Linked DNA regions of Sus scrofa. The protein of the gene in region 2 interacts with the protein of the main gene of each other region in a pairwise test. Links are inferred from orthologs where the notes say so. Each region holds a gene or a part of one and is shown on either strand. Other genes may lie near its edges. The genes, in order: UBE2I, TFAP2A and glutathione S-transferase omega-2.

What was found.
Region 1: the proteins of TFAP2A (region 2) and UBE2I interact in binary tests that used the Homo sapiens proteins (3 or more experiments, as listed by UniProt). The link is inferred for Sus scrofa from reciprocal best matches to the Homo sapiens genes TFAP2A and UBE2I.
Region 3: the proteins of TFAP2A (region 2) and glutathione S-transferase omega-2 interact in binary tests that used the Homo sapiens proteins (3 or more experiments, as listed by UniProt). The two-hybrid records come from large-scale screens. The link is inferred for Sus scrofa from reciprocal best matches to the Homo sapiens genes TFAP2A and GSTO2.

Annotation. Positions count from the first base shown.
Region 1 is NC_010445.4:40,558,354-40,563,784, reverse strand, and holds part of UBE2I (SUMO-conjugating enzyme UBC9), read left to right. Parts: coding exon 1-29; intron 30-716; coding exon 717-789; intron 790-4,513; coding exon 4,514-4,623; intron 4,624-4,736; coding exon 4,737-4,816; intron 4,817-5,431. UniProt on the Homo sapiens protein: Accepts the ubiquitin-like proteins SUMO1, SUMO2, SUMO3, SUMO4 and SUMO1P1/SUMO5 from the UBLE1A-UBLE1B E1 complex and catalyzes their covalent attachment to other proteins with the help of an E3 ligase such as RANBP2, CBX4 and ZNF451.
Region 2 is NC_010449.5:7,222,056-7,227,486, reverse strand, and holds part of TFAP2A (transcription factor AP-2-alpha), read left to right. Parts: intron 1-88; coding exon 89-207; intron 208-2,161; coding exon 2,162-2,303; intron 2,304-4,028; coding exon 4,029-4,317; 3' UTR 4,318-5,431.
Region 3 is NC_010456.5:115,223,631-115,229,061, reverse strand, and holds part of glutathione S-transferase omega-2, read right to left. Parts: intron 4,953-5,431; 5' UTR 4,725-4,952; intron 4,480-4,724; 5' UTR 4,430-4,479; coding exon 4,371-4,429; intron 1,428-4,370; coding exon 1,205-1,427; intron 306-1,204; coding exon 204-305; intron 1-203. UniProt on the Homo sapiens protein: Exhibits glutathione-dependent thiol transferase activity. Has high dehydroascorbate reductase activity and may contribute to the recycling of ascorbic acid. Participates in the biotransformation of inorganic arsenic and reduces monomethylarsonic acid (MMA).

The DNA.
Region 1 (5,431 bases), on a different chromosome or scaffold from region 2:
GGGAGTGCGCCATTCCCGGGAAGAAGGGGGTAAGAGGGGGCCCCCGAGAGGGCTCGGGTTCAGGTGTACGGGACGCTGGGGACGGTCACGTGAGCCCTGGTCCTGTCCCTGGTGGGGGGGGGGCACCTCAAAGACAGGATGACAGGTGGTCCCTGGGCATGTCCTGAATCAGGTAGGACCTGGGCTGTGGCAGATGGGGAGGGAGGCGCCGCGCGGCCGGGGGCCAGGGAGGTGCCCAGGCTGAGGCAGCCTGGCCGGGGTGACGCTCCCTGGGACGCCTGCCTGCCCCTGGGTGTGGAGGCCGGGCGTCGGCCACCGAGCTGGCTGTGTGGGGCCCAGCGTGCCCTTCATGCCTGGCCACGGGGCTGCCCCTCGGCCCATCTGAGTGTGCCCGGGTCTCTTCGGACCGGCACATGGCAAGCATTTGGGAGGAAGAGTGCGGTGACCCAGGAGGAAGGAGGCGCCCCCTTCTGTGCTGGGTGATGAGAGGCTCCGTGGCCTCCATCCGTGGCCTCGACGCGCAGGAGGGGGACCCGGGGGCCTGAGGGAAGGCCCTTGGCACCTCTTCCTGGGGCCCACGGAGGCCCTGACGGTGCGCGGGGTGGGTCGGCGGGGTTCTCTCGGTCCGGGGCACGGCGGGAGCAAGCGCAGCCCCTGCTGGGCCAGACCGGCCGCGGAGACCCCTGCTCACCTAACAGAGTGTTGCCTCCCCGCAGACGCCGTGGGAGGGAGGCTTGTTTAAACTGCGGATGCTGTTCAAAGACGACTACCCGTCCTCACCGCCGAAATGTGAGTAGAGCCGAGTCCTCCCAGATCCCTCAGCGTCGGCCGCATTCCTCTGGGACCGAGGTCCTCAGAGAGCTTGGGCCTGTGGGGCCTCAGGTATGTGCCCTGCTCCCCGCAGCTCCATGGGCGCCCGGGGAACTCAGAACAGGCCCAGCTCCCACCCCGGGGGCCTCCTGGGCCCTTCCCGCCGGCGGATGAGCTCCCGCCCTGGGCCGGCGTGCGCGCTGAAGGACCGCGGACCAGAGCCGCCCCCCAAGGGGACTTCCTCGCTGGTTGGGGTTTCAGGCCCAAGCTGCCTGTGCAGACGGCAGAGCGGGCGGCGGGAAGAGAGGCCGAGGCTGCGCCTGCGGTTCTGCTGTGGTGGACGCAGTAACCCGTTTACTTAGCGAAACTCGGGAGGGTTCTGTCGCTGGAGATCCGCACTGGCTGGTGAATGGAGTGCCCTGGTACCTGCCCTGGCGTGTGGAGGGTGCCTGGCAGGCTGTGAGAGCCTTGACTCGGCTGGCTGGAGAGAAGTGTGCTGTCTTTTAACGGCACAAGCAGACTTTCTGAGACTCACCGCCTTGGAGTGGGGACCGACTTCATTTCAGGGGGTTCTTTGCTGTTCAGGGCTTTTTGCCACGTGCACGTCTTAGCTTACAGAACGTCTCTGTTTAAGAGATGAAACGTGGACTTCCCATTGTGGCTCATTAGATTAAGAGCCCAGCAGTTGCCACAGGGATGCCGGTACAGCCCCACCCATTGGGTGAAGGATCTGGCTTGTGGTGAGCTGCGGTGTGAGTTGCTGATGCGGCTTGGAACTGGCATGGCTGCGGCTCTGGCTGGGGTGGAGGCCCAGCAGCTGCAGCTCTGAGTCGACCCCTAGCCTGGGACCCTCCATGTGCCACAGGCACGGCCCTAAAGAGACCAAAAGGAAGAAGGGATACACATGGTAGCTGCTCTCATCACTCCCGCTCCACATTGTGGGGAATGGCAGGCCCACACAGCCGGGCAAGACAACGAAATCCCCGCAGCACAAGTGGAAGGAAGACGGGACTGCAAACCATCTTCCTCCGAGTCTGTCCTAGGGGTGCTGAATAAAAGACGAATTTGCAAAAATCTATTCATGTAACTGCAGCAGATGCAAGCTCCTAAACGCCACCATTTAAAGCAGCGTCAAACAGCGTGGATGACATCCAGCAAGAGACTCTCGAGACTGCTGTGCTGAAGACGAGGCGTCTGCGAGGGCCAGGGGCTGCCTGGGTGCCTGGTGGGTCGGGCCACTGTGCACACGCCCGTTCTCTGGGGCTCTTCTGCAGGTCCAGCCTGACCCTGGTCGCCGTGCCAGCAGCCCTTGGGAACCGTCAGGCAGACTGAGAAGCAGGAAGTGCCCAGAAGAGCCAGGGCTCTGGAGATGAGGGGGCGGAGCTGGGGCTCAGGCTGCTGCCCGCCCAGTGAGGGGACCCAGGCCGGCCCTGCTCTGGGGACACAGCGACTGAGACACAGTCTGCGCAGCAGAGCCCAGAAAGGCCATCTGCGTCCGGGGCCTGCAGGTGGCAGGTGGGGCTGCGGGCACGGGGAGGGCGGGCTGGCCCTGACGAGGAGAACGGCTCTTGCGTGGCATCTCAGTGCCCGGTGGGAAGTACAGCATCAGGGCTGAGCTGCTGGCCCAGCAGGTTAAAGACCTGGCCTCGCTGCTGTGGCGCAGGTTTGTCCTTGGCCCTGGAACCTTCACATGGCTGCAGGTGCAGCCGCAGGTGCCCCACTGCCGCCGCAGCCAAAAGAGTACAGCTTCGGAGCAAGTGGGGGAACCTCTTGCTCATGTTCGCGGCTGGGCGTTTAACCGGGGAAGCACCTGGAGCACCCCCACTCCCCCGCCGTCACCCCCTTGGGGACAGTGATGAGCTGACCGAACTGAAATCAAGACCACCTCGACCGGGAGTCGCCAGCAAGAGTGGAGGGGGCAGCACGCGCTCGTCAGTGAGTTCTCTCCGGTCTGTCCCTGGCATCGCCTGTCGGGCGGCACACAGCCAGGAGGGGAGGGTGCTGCACCTGGCTCCCGGCCCCATTTGCGGCCGGAGTGGGAGGGCCCGGCTCAGGGCTCACGTCGGTTCCGAACTCTCCCCCGGAAGTCTCTGGCTCGTCTGCTGCGGCCACCCTGGGACCCGGTGCTCATGGAGGAGCCCAGGTGTCGTGCCGAATGGACAGGTCAGCAGCGGACCATCTGCGGCACAGGCGAGAGGCTCTGAAGTGTCCCCCAGATGCTGAGGCGCTCACGCGGGGCGTCGGCAGGCCAAGCAACGACGGGCAGTGTTGGGAGTCGAGAGGTGACTTCCTGGCGCGCCCACCCCTCCCGAGCTGGGGGTGGGGTGGGGCGGTGCCGCTGCCCATCCAGCACCTTCTCTGGGTGGGGACAAGAATGATGTCTCAGGTTATATTTGGGTTGGGAACTGGTGTTCACGGAAAGGCACCAGAGGTTTCACCAAAAGTGAAAGAAAAAGATGAACTCTGTGTAGGAGAAGGCGTTTGGGAGGCAGATAACTGACAACGGACCTGCGTCCCGCGTGTGTAAGGAGTGTCGACAAGAAAAGCATGCAAGGTTTGAGCAAGGAAGCAGTCACCGCATCGCAGGGAGTGAAAGAGGATCCAGAAAACGCAAAGCAGAACCGCAAGAGTGGCCGAATGCCATGACTGAACCACGGGTGCTGGCAGCATCTTGGCGCTGTACACTGGCACAGCCGTTGGAAAGCAGTGGTGTCTGCAGGTTCAGCAGAGACACCGTGCAAGCCAGTGTCTTCCCGTAGAAGTGCGCACACACTGGCATTCCCGTCATGGCTCACTAGAGACAAATCTGATGAGTATCCATGAGGACACCGGTTTGATCCCTGGCCTTACTTAGTGGGTTAAGGATCTGACGTTGCTGTGAGCTGTTGAGTGGGTCGCAGACACAGTTCAGATCCGTGTGGCTGTGGTGTAGGCTGGCAGCTAAAACTCTGATTCAACCCCTAGCCTGGGAACCTCCATACGCCATGGGTGCGGCCCTTAAAAAAAAAAAAAAAAATGCGCACACATCAGGATTTGCCTCGAGGGACGTGCACAGCTTTGTTGTGGCTCAGATGCGCCCCTGCGGCGGGCGCTGTGGGCAAGTCCTCGGCACAGCTTCCCCCAACAAGGCCCGCACAGCACGGGTGTGGGAACTGCACACATGACCCTGAGAGCCAGGAGTCCTCGGGGGGTTGCGAGCTGGGGTGACAGGACAGGCAGGGTGGTGTGTGATGGGGGGAGTTTTCTTGAAGCTGCTGGTGTGAGCAGGTGAGTTTGTTTTTGTCAGTCCATCAAGCTGTGCTACACCTGCTGCACTAAAGTGACAAGGGGAAGGTGCCCCAGATGGGAACAAGGAAGCCTGAGCCGAGTCAGTGTCCGTGAGAGAGAACACGGGGTCCTTACCGCCTCTGTCGCGACGCAGGATGATCTGCCTTGAAAACAACCGCTCGCTTCGAAGGGCCTCTGAGCCTCTGCCTGGAGGCCCCCAGGACGCTCGCCTCGGCCCCTTCCCATCCTCCCGAGTCGAAGACTGCCTGCCGCGTCCCGGGAGGACAGGTCCCTCCGAGCCCCCCGGGGAGGCACGGGCCCACCCCTCCCGCCTCGGGGCCAGCTTCCTCCCCGAGGAGTCCTCCACAGAAGGCCCCGGGACCAGCCAGGTGCCCCCGCCCCCCTGACCGCTTGTGCTTCCTTCCCTGTGCCCCAGGCAAGTTCGAGCCGCCGTTATTCCACCCGAACGTGTACCCTTCGGGCACGGTGTGCCTGTCCATCCTGGAGGAGGACAAGGACTGGAGGCCGGCCATCACGATTAAGCAGGTACACAGCGCGCGCCCGCCTCTGGTCTCCGGGACCGAGGCCGCTGTCCTAGGCAGGTTTGCCGTTCAAAGCGCTAGCCTCCCACTGGGCTGTTTGTTTTGTCTCTTACGCAGATCTTGTTAGGAATACAGGAACTTCTAAATGAACCAAATATCCAAGATCCAGCTCAAGCAGAGGCCTACACGATCTACTGGTTAGTAGCGCTCCGGCCCCACCTGGTGCAGCCTCGCATTGGCCGCCTGGAGTCTCTGCTCTAGGCCGGCGGGGGCGGGGGGCGGCGTTCGGGTGTTGGCCGCTTTGTGTCGGAGGTGAGGTCTTAACAGCCCTGGTCCAGCTCAGGGAATGACCCCCTGGGCCTGGGCCCTGAAAAAGGGGCGTCCCGCAGCCCAGCTCAGCCAGGGACCCAGACTTGCCCCCCTTGGCGCTCCTGCCACACGCTGGTCCAGCCTGGGTGTGGTGCCTCCCGTGCTCCCATGGGGCAGGGATTCAGGCCACTCTTGGCCACCCAGCTGCTCTGATGTCCCCTCCGTGCCCAGGCCTTCCCTGCGTCCACCATCCACGCTGACGGAGGAGGCCTGTGACTCATTGGGGGCGAGCAGTGGTTAAACCTGGAGCCCCGGGCTTGGCTCTGGTTCTCCTCAGAGCTGGGCTGGACGGGCCCTAGGCAGGCCGGAGGCTCTGAGCCCCACTGTCCCATCTGCCCACGGGACAGCGCGAGTTTCCCGACGACACTCCCCAGGTGCCTCAGCGGCCTGGGACCCGAGGGGCTGGCCTCCGGGACAGGCCGGGCAGGTGCCTGTTCCTGGAG
Region 2 (5,431 bases):
TTTTAGGAAGGTGTCGAGATGACTACAGTGTGATACAGAGCAACCAACTGTGTTCTAAATCCCTTTCTCGCATATATTTGTGAAACAGGGCGAAGTCTAAAAATGGAGGAAGATCTTTAAGAGAAAAACTGGACAAAATAGGATTAAATCTGCCAGCAGGGAGACGTAAAGCTGCCAACGTCACCCTGCTCACATCACTAGTGGAGGGTAAGCGAGTCCACTTGCTAACAAGGAGGGATGTTTCTTCTGGGGAAATGGATGCTACTTAGTGACCAGATGTTTGGTTGTGTTTTGTATCAACTGGGCAGTTTCATTTTTTTTTTCCCCCCAGAAAAATATCGCTGGAAGTGAACAGGATTCTTGCCTGGCAAAAAAACTCTTTGCATTTATTCCTGTCCACCTTTCCTCTTCCCTTCTGCCACATAATTACACCTCCCTAGCCCGATTCTGACCCAAACAATGTGAAAATTTAAGAACTGCGTAGTCTTCAAGTTCCTGTCTCCTTTATCGAGCTCAGCAGTAAATCACTTAAGCTATTCTGACATCTGCCTTTGAGAAATGCGTGACCATTACTTCCTGAATTAATTTGGGAATCTTTGACCTGCATCCTGATTTAAGACCGTCCTGAAAGCTCAGGGTTCTATGCCCTTTTAGTTTTTTGCTTTCCAAACATATGCCCCCTTATCTCTTACTTAATTGTGCCTCTCTCCTGGAGAGGAAGAAAAGTGAGCAATTGTAGACTCTGAGTGAGTTATTTGGATAGGAAAAGAAAAAAGAAATAGAAGCAGTGCAGAAAGTTTCTCAAGTCAGCTTTCACACACACACACACACACACACACACACACACACACACCCCTTCTAAACCCCTCAAAACAAAGCTAACGCCCTGGTCTAGACACACCAGAGTCCAGTCACAATCCATCACAGTCCTCCTTCCTCCCAGATCCCTGGTAAGTTTGTCAGATACTAAACTGGCTTAAGTTTGGGTGTGTTGACATGAGTATATACTTCTCTTGCATTTTCCTCTGTGTTCTCTTGGAAATGTCTAATGCCAAGAGGGGGAAAAAAAAGGCACTTACATTGTGGAGCAGATTTCAAAACTACCATTTATATTTAAGACACCTTGGCTTCTTTACATCCAGTATCTGAGGAGATGTAGGCTAATTGAATTCAAGTTCTAGCTTTGAGAATCAGTTTTTAAATGTTTAAAAACTTACCGTTGAGGAGAAATCCCATGAACCATTTGTTCAGGGTGTCAAAGATGCTACTAATAGAATCGTGAAGTAATAAGCAACTGTTCAGGCCTGGAAACTCATCGACCGTAGCCCAGTGTTAAAACTCATACCGGTACCTTCAAAACCTATACCCTTCAGACCCCAGAAGAATTACATGCAGAGAATCTGGCAGTAGTGGCTTTGGGTGTCGTTTGAAAGTGCGTTTGGGTTTGGGGGTTGAGTCCTGGAGCAGGGAGGCAGTTTCTGGAGAACTGTTATTGTTTGTGATCCGCTCCATTTTATGGAAACAAGCTCAGCGGAGAGGCCTTTGATGCTCTAATTGGCGCATGCGTTCTTCCGGAGCTGGAGCTAATGGCAGGAAGCCCTGCAGTAAAAACCAACTGGTTCAGGAAATTAAAACCAAAGATTCGAAAATCAACAACACAGACAGACTCAGTGGAGTGACCCTCAAATCCTCTTGGTTAATCGGTTTGGATGAACAGATAATTATATGCGATAAAGTTAAAATGTAAACCCTTAGCTGTTCCCTTGCAGAAAAGCTCAAGGAGTAATTATGAATATCATTTATGAATGTGTTGATCGGTGTGAGGTTTGGAATACCAGAAACCTTTTAAAAGAGAGGGTGGGAAAAATGTCATTGGGGTGGCGGATGAGCCTGGAGGGGAACGGGTGGGATTTACGTTTTCAAATCATTTTGGCCATCTGGGATCCGTGGCCATCTCCCCCCACCCCCCACCCCCCTGCACCCCTAAGAAATGCATCCACCAGATCGTACAGAGAAGGAAAGAAAATACCTGAAGTGAGAAAACAAGTCGTTTGGGTTTCCTACAACATCTGGGTTAAGAAAATAAGAGAGTTGGGAGGAAGTTTGGATCTCAACTCGGCTCAGCCTCCCGCCCTCCCTCCTCTCTCTCACCTCTTGCCAGGAGAAGCCGTCCACCTCGCCAGGGACTTTGGGTACGTGTGCGAAACCGAATTTCCTGCCAAAGCAGTAGCTGAGTTTCTCAACCGACAACATTCCGATCCCAATGAGCAAGTGACAAGAAAAAACATGCTCCTGGCTACAAAGTAAGACATTTACCTCTTCGGGGTCTGTGTGTCTCACTGTCAAGAGAAAACAAAACTCAGAATCGTTTCTGCTCTCCCTTTGGGCCTCTCTTCCTTTTGTGTAAATCAGCTTGGTTGGTGGCAATATGAAAGTGACGACACAATCTTACAAACCGTAATGGGTCTCCGAGGGGAGAGACAAGGAAGATTGTGAGTGTGTGTTTCCTCCTTCCCTCTCTCTTCTGCCCACCTTCTCATTAAAAAAATCATAATACTAATGTGTGGGATAGAGTGTGGATTTGATGGAAACTGAGGGTGGATTTGTGACCATGTTATTTCAGAAAGACCAGAATAGAATTCTTAAAGGAGTGACAGGCTTGTCTGTATCAGTGTTTGTTTCTTATCAATACGTCCTCCAAGAACAAGGATTAATATAAGCAGTGGCTTGCAAAATGTTCAGGCCGGAAGCTGTCCTAGTTTCCATCCTAATCCTTTCTCGCATGTCTTGCCTTCCTTTCTGGCCTTCCTCAAAAGTCCTGTATACACACCCACACCCACCCGTTCCCCACAAGTTCTAGCCTACAGGCGAGATGTCAGATAGGTTTCAAAATGGCCCAAGTTCTATTCCCACCGGGTGACTGGGCTGAATAGGCTTCTCCAGGTGGTGTGTGAAAAGAAAATGACTGTTTTGATATGTTTTCTGGAAATTCAAAGTCTTGTTTGGAAGCCCTTAATTATCAAAGTCCACGTCACAGGAGGGCATGGAACCAGGGGGCAGAGGCTGAGGCCTCGGGGGTGGGGTCTTTTCTGGCCCCGGGACATCAGCTGGCCTTGGAGGAGGCAGCCTGCCTGTGCTCCCACCCATCCTCCCCCCCCTACCCAGCATCTCCCCACCCCCAGCCCCACCCCAGGGCCTCTGCTGCCTCAGGAAGGCCCCAGCTAGTCCTGGCTTCCCAGATTCAGAGCTTCCGCTGTGCAGGCCCCATCACCTGTATTCCAACTTCTCTTCTCTTAGCTTCTAAGGACACCCACAGTCACCGTATCCCTAGACATTTTTTTCTTTTCTTGGGGAGGGGGGGGTTGGACAAGAGGTGAAATGGCAGATTGAAATGTCTGTCTGTTTCTTCTTCCCTAAACTACTCTGAATTATCCCCATGTAACAGGGGCTTTTTTGGGTGCCTTTTATTTTTAAAGGCAAAATTCTCCCAAGACAGGTTTGGCCTTTCTTGTCCACCCATCTGCCCTGATTTGAGGGGGAATGACTGGAGAGGGAGAGGCCATCCCCCAGACTGCTGCTGAGAGATCTCTCTAGAAGATCAGGGGAGGGGGTCTCTGTAGTATTTGGAGCAGGACCTCCGATGAGCACCTGCCCTTGGTATGGAAGGGATGCTTGTGTTCCTGACTCCTTGTCCCTGTCACTCACCTTTGCTTCTCTCCCATAACATGCGAAATGTTTTCCTGCATCCAGGATGTTTGGTGTGAGAGAGAAAACAGGGGGGTAGAAGTGTGGTGTAGCTGAGAGGGGAGAAGGAGACACACAGGAAGGGGGGGGCGTTTGTGGAAGGGTTTAAACTCCCCCCCCTTTTCTCCCCCCCTCCCCTGCCTGCCCGCCGGTGTCAGGTCAGGTGTCCCCTTGATGCAGGCAGAGGTACCTGCAGGGAGATGCAGGGAGAAAGGTTTTCTCTCTGCTGCTGGCGCTGCCCTCAGGGGAGCCTCATTTCTCTCTCTGCTCCACTTGTGCTGCAGACAGATATGCAAAGAGTTCACCGACCTGCTGGCTCAGGACCGATCTCCCCTGGGGAACTCGCGGCCCAACCCCATCCTGGAGCCCGGCATCCAGAGCTGCTTGACCCACTTCAACCTCATCTCCCACGGCTTCGGCAGCCCGGCGGTGTGCGCCGCGGTCACGGCCCTGCAGAACTATCTCACCGAGGCCCTGAAGGCCATGGACAAAATGTACCTCAGCAACAACCCCAACAGCCACACGGACAACAGCGCCAAAAGCAGTGACAAAGAGGAGAAGCACAGAAAGTGAAGCTCTCCTCCAGCCCTGCCCCCGGACCCGCGCCTCGCCGTCCCCCCCCCCCGCCGCCGCCCCCCCCATCTCCATCGCCATCTCCCCCACCGGTGCCCCCCCCCCCATCGACCGCCGCCGGCAGGTGAGCTCCGGGATCAGCAACCCCCCCACTGCTGCTACTGCTGCTGCTGCTGCCGCCGCCGCTGCCGCCACGCCTTCGGTTCGGAGGCTCGGGGTCCTGGGGACAGCGCTCCCCGGCGAGAGGGGCGACCCTGCCGCCCAGGCCCCTGCCTCGACTTCCCCGATCCGCACCACCTCGCCTCTGCCCTTGCGTGGAGCCTCAGAGCACAGAACAGGCCGTGAAGCGGGCAGAGAAAAGTTCTGTCCGAGTGTGTGAACCCTTTTTTTTTTTTTTTTTTTTTTAACACCGCAAATCAACAGCAATGACAACCACAAAATTCAAACTTTTTTTTTTTTTTTTTTAGAAAAAAGAACGTAAAAATTAAAAAAAAAAATGATATGCGCTTCATGGGATGGAATCACCACCTTCCTTTACATACCGTTCAGATTGTAGCCATACTTAAAAAAAAAAAAAAAAAAAAAAGAAACAGAGAAAAGAAAAAGAAAGCAAAGGCAAAAAGGATCATGACATTTTTATCAGTATTGTGAATAAACTTGAACGCAGATACAGGAAGTTCCATGTCTTGTCTTCAGTTACAGAAGTTTTCCCTCTTCAAGGTAAAGCGACCAACTTGAACTTTCTCTGGCAACACGATTCACAGTTATATAAGGGAATCAGTGTTCACGTCTCTGTATATATTTATTTATGTGTAATTTAATGGGAATTGTAAATATGGTGAGTCTGTTTTAAACCTTTTTTTTTTTTTTTTTAATTTATCTGGTAATCTCGTTTACCTCTTGTTTAGTGGGTTTTGACTCTCTCCCCTGGTACTTACTTAGGAATCCAAGGTTTGGGGGATTTTTTTTTTTTTTTTCTTCTTCTTTCCCCTCTGGGATTCATGAATTTAGCCCTGTTGTAGCATGTTCAAGATGACAATGAAACAGCTGAACACAATTTAAAAAGGAAAATAAAAAATTTATATATAATTAGTAATACATTTAGCTTTTCATT
Region 3 (5,431 bases), on a different chromosome or scaffold from region 2:
TTGCCCTCTCCCACTTTTTGCCAGATTTTTAAGAATAATTCCAGAGCAGGTTAGTGGGGGGCCAATACCCACAAGTTAAAGTCATATGACTAGCGGCTGAACTTATCAAAGTCTGTGAAAACAGAAGGTGTCCGGGTGACCAGGGTGGGGACCTGAATCACTTCTCCCACTGCATCTGTCCAGGAGGGGGCTCCGTTTAGTACCTCTTCCAGGTTGCAGAACTCCTGACGCAGGGCTAGCTTCAGATCAGCGCATTCTCTCCCACATCTCAAGGCTACCAGACACTCCTTTGTCAAATGTGGGACCTGATCAGAGGACACAGGTTCTTAGTGGAGAATTCTTAGGGCACCCAGTGCTCCCTAAAAATGCAGCTGGAGCTTGTCTGGCTCCCACACCCAGGCTCCCCAGCTCCTTCTGAGGGCCATCTCTGTGGCTTCACAGCACCCTGGTAAACAAGGTGCTATAAAAGAGGACTCTCTGGTGCTCCTTATTTGGTCAGCTACTTCCATGATGTACAGTCTTAGGTGGGGCACTTACCTTCCCTAAGCCTCAGTGTTCTCATCTGAGAAATGGATACAATAATAGTACCCACCTTAAAGGGCAGGGGCGAGAATTCAACGAGGTAACCTTTATAAAGCAGTTAGAATAGTGCTTGGCACATTCTAAGTGCTCAAGAGATTTCAGCTATAAATCTGATTATTTTTGTTTCTTTTCAAAGAGAATTATCTTAGAATTTCTCCATCATTTTCTCTCCCATTATCAACAATATCCCCCTTTCTCTCGTCTTCACATTTTCCTGGACAGTTGGCACTCTCATTCCCCATTAAAGGACAATTCCCTTCTGTACACATTACCTTTTACAGCTACCCCAATATTTTTTTTTACCTGAAAGCTTAGAAAGAGTCCCTTTAAAGTATCACCAGTTTTCAACCCTTTCAGTATTCCTGTCTCAAGTTACAGTCATAACCATAACTCTTGAGACTACTAGTTCAAATGGTAAAGGCTAAGCCTTCAAACTTTAACGTCAGAGGCCACTGCTCTACTATAATTCCATACCAGCTATCCTCCTAAAGGCACATACATATATCAAAGCAAATGAATTTCATCAATGATTTGACTTTTTAAACAGATCAAAGCTTGGGCAAGACATATAAAGTAAAATTGAGTGCAAGTGGCTTTCTAAAAAAAAAAAAAATGGGTATACCTTATAGAATAGCTCCAATAGCATCTTTTGGCGAGCTCGCTCATAAGGGTCATATGGATATAGCTTCCTTCCAGGATAAGCATCATCCAGGTACTCGCAAGCAATGACAGATTCGTAGATCAGTTGACATTTGCTGTTCTCCAGGACAGGAATTTGGCCAAAAGGGTGCTTTGTAAAGTACCATTCAGGCTTGTTTCTCAGGTTAATGTTGACAACTTCATGTCTTACAAAGCAAATGGGAAACAAGACAGAAAAACAAATGAGAGGCTTAGGCAGGTAGATGCTCATCTTGAACGCAAAAGCCATCAATCTATAAAATTATAATTTGCAATAAGTTTTTTTTTTAAGTTAGGTTTGTACAAAGAAAAATACATAATGAGGTCATTGTCTTCCTACATCCAGGAAGCTACATTGAATGTTTTCTATGCCTTACCCCATTGGCTCCTCCGGATTCCCTTTGAGGTAAACTGGGGGATCATCATGAAGAGCACACGAGGTACAGAAAACACTTAACACATCCCTTCTGAGAACTGAGGCTCCTTGAGGTTGACTCTCCTGCCCGATATCACCCACTAAAAAGTAGCAGAGCCAAGATAGAGCCCAAGCAGTCTGACTCAGAGTCCCCAAGCTTCACCAGGGTTTGAAAATTTTTATCTAATGTCTGCAAACAAGTTTTGGTTGCTGTAACTTGTGGGGGGGAGTCTACTGCCATCCTATGAGTAGAGGCCAGGGATGCTGCTAGACATCCAACAGAGCACAGGACAGTCCTTCCCCATCACCAAATACACACAGAGATAAAAATTATCTGGCCCCAAATGTCAAAAGTGCCAAGAGTGAGAAACCCTGCCCTAAACAGGTATTTACTCATGCAGCTCAATAACAACAACAACAACAACAAAATGCAATCAAAAAGTGGGCAGAAGATCTAAATAGACATTTCTTCAAAGAAGACATACAGAAGGCAAACAGGCACATGAAAATAGGCACAAGAAACAGGCATTTCTCTAATAATCAGCACTGCTAATTATTAGAGAAATGTAAATCAAAACTACAATGAGGTACTACCTCACACTGGTCAGAATAACCATCATTAAAAAGTCTACAAATAGCAAATGCTGGAAAGGATGTGAAGAAACGGGAACCCTCCTACACTGTTGGTGGGAATGTAAATTGATGGAGCCACTATGGAAAACATATGGAGGGTTCTCAAAAAGCTAAAAATAGGGTTGCCATGGGATCCAGGAATCCCACTCCTGAGCGTATATCCAAAGAAAACTTTAATTTGAAAAGATATATGCATCTCAATGTTCGCAGCAGCACTATTCATAATAGCCAAAACTTGGAAACAACCTAAATATCCATCAACAAATGAATGGATAAAGAAGCTGTGGTATATATGCAATGCAATACTACTCAGCCATAAAAAAGAATGAAATAATGCCATACACAGCAATATGGATGAACCTAGAGATCATCACACTAAGGGAAGTAAGTCAGAAAGAGAAAGACAAATACCATATGGTATCACTTATATAGAGAATCTAAAATATAACGCAAATGAACTTATTTATGAAACAAACAGACTCACAGACACAGAAAATAAATTTATGGTTACCAAAGGGGAAAGGCGGTGGGGGGAGGGGATAAATCGGGAGTTTGGGATTAGTAAATACACGCTACTATAAAATAGATAAACAATAAAAACAGATAAACAACAAGGTCCTACTGTATAGCACAGGGAACTATATTCAATATCTGATAACAAACCATAATGGAAAAGAATATGAAAAAGAATACGAATATGTGCATATATCTGAGTCATTTTGCTATATACATCAGAAACTAACACAATATTTAAAATCAATCATACCTCAATAAAATTTTTAAGAAGAAGTATTTGTATCAGTTCCTAAGCTGCTCCTTAGTCACTATAGTAAAACATTGGTCTAGGCGTTCTGGCTGTGGTGCAGTGGGTTAAGAATCCAACTGTGGTGGCTCAGGTTGCTGTGACGGGGGACAGGCTGAATTCTTGCCCTGGCACAGTGGCTTAAAGGATCCGGTGTTGCCACAGCTATGGCATAGGTCACAGTTACTGCTCAGATTCAATCCCTGGCTTAGGAACTTCCATGTGGTGTGAGTGTGGCCATTTAAAAAAATATATATATATTGATCTTTTTTTTTTTTTTTTTAAAAAAAAAAGATAATGTTAGGCCAACTAGAATTGAGCAGAAGGGAAGAATCTGGATATATAAGCCATATACACTTAACAAAACAGAATTACATAATTTCATTTAAAAGATCTCTGTATTAGTCACTGCATATCTTTACTTGAATCAGATACTCTTAAGTCATCCCCTAGGGACGGACTTTCCAAGCCCAGAGTCAAAAGGCTGGAGAAACACTTTCTCAGCACTTTAGCTTGGAGCCCATTCCATCCAGCCATTCCCAATCCCAGCAAGATCTCTATACCTTCTAAATCCAAATCTCCTTTGCAGGAGCTAGTCTTGCAAGATCCTTCTGGAGAGGTGTGTATCCATTTCTCAGATATATGGGTCCCTTCCAGACACCTCTTGATAATATCCCTATATTTCACAGTTTGGAACTATTTGTTTATTTATTCAAAAAGTAGTTTTAAGCACCTACTATGTGCTGGGTTCTCTTCCACACCATGAATAAAAGATAAAGTTCCTACCCTCAAGAACTTACATTTGTGTGTGTATGTGTGTCTGGGGCAGGGGTGGGGCAGTGGAAGTGTGGCTGGGAGGTGTGGAGAAAAGACTACAAGCAAATAAGAAAATGTTGGCTGCCACAAGCACAAAGAAAAAAGAGAAGAGAATTGACCTGAAGATGTCTAGGGTAGGGTGGGGGCTATGGTTCATGGAACAGTCAGCAGAGGCCTCTGTAGTCTCTGGAGTGCCCTTCACAAGCCTTAGGGAAGAAACACGCTCACCAGAGTCTTCATTCTGTTTGCTCTCAATTGTCCTAAATGTTTCCTGCACAGACCTGACTACATTTCAGCAAGGCTGCTCAAGAACCTGCCCTCTGCTAACCGTTTACTGACTTGGCTTCAGAAGAAAGAGGCAGGGAGCCTCTGCAATTTGAGCAAGGCACCCCAGATGTTAGACATCCCCAGGCGTGTCTGGGGCGCAGGCCTCCCCCTTCTCACCTGATGCCTTTGGCCCTAAGGACCAGACGGGTCCTGTGCGCATAGGGGCAGAACCTCATGCTGTAGATGCGGATCAGGCCCTCTGGGACTGGCCCAGGGGGGAGGCTCCCTGCGGGCAGAGGAGGTACAAGGAGGAGGATTAGCCCATGGGGTCAGAGGCTCACTTCCCTCCCCAGGACCCTAAGAGGGCCACCTCCTAATCCCAGAGAGGACTTTTTTTTTTCTTTTTTTCTTTTCTTTCATGTGGCTTTTTTGCAGAGGACCCATTCAAGTCCCCACTCGCCATGCTAGTCTGGGATCCAACATCCAGCCACATGTGCCCCCAGCCCGTGGACAGCTGTCAAGAGGACTCACCTTTCCCCAAGGTCCTGGTGGCATCGTCAGTCACGTTCTCCCGATGTTTGCGCAGTGGCCAGCGCTCACAGCCGCGGCCATGTGGCTTGCTGCTGCTACCGCAGCCTCCAAGGACAACGGAACTCTGGTGCCCTCGCCCTGCTCTTGCCCCAAATTCAACCTTGGAGCAACAGGGCCCTAGCGGGGCGGAGGAGAAGTGATCCAGGACGGCAGCTAGGATAGTTCAACCTGGAGAAACAGAGCCCCAGATTCAGAAGCTGGAGTACTAGGAGTAGGGGGGGGAATGGGTGGATGAAACCTGAAAAGTACCCCTTGCTTTGAACTCAGGGGGCACAACATCCGGTTCAATCTCCTCTACATCAAGAATCTGTGAAGTATGGGCATTGAATCTCCACTTATTTCAAGGGAGTTTAATAAAAATTGACTAGGGTGATGCTAACGTCTTCTTTCCCATTCTAAGCCTTCCCTTATGCATATCTAAGACAGCTAGCCATACCCTGTGTATAAGGAGTGCTTTTTAAAAAATAAGGCCATGATCTAGCAGATAAGAAGAAAAACTTACAGATGTTAAGATCTTGCACGACCCTAAAAGGGTCTCATTAAATTTTGTGCCCTCCCTGCCTCACCCTAGTTCTGATCCTATTTATGCAATTTTACCCAAGCTACAAAAAATTGGTAATGAACAGAAACAAGATCCCTAGAGGCAA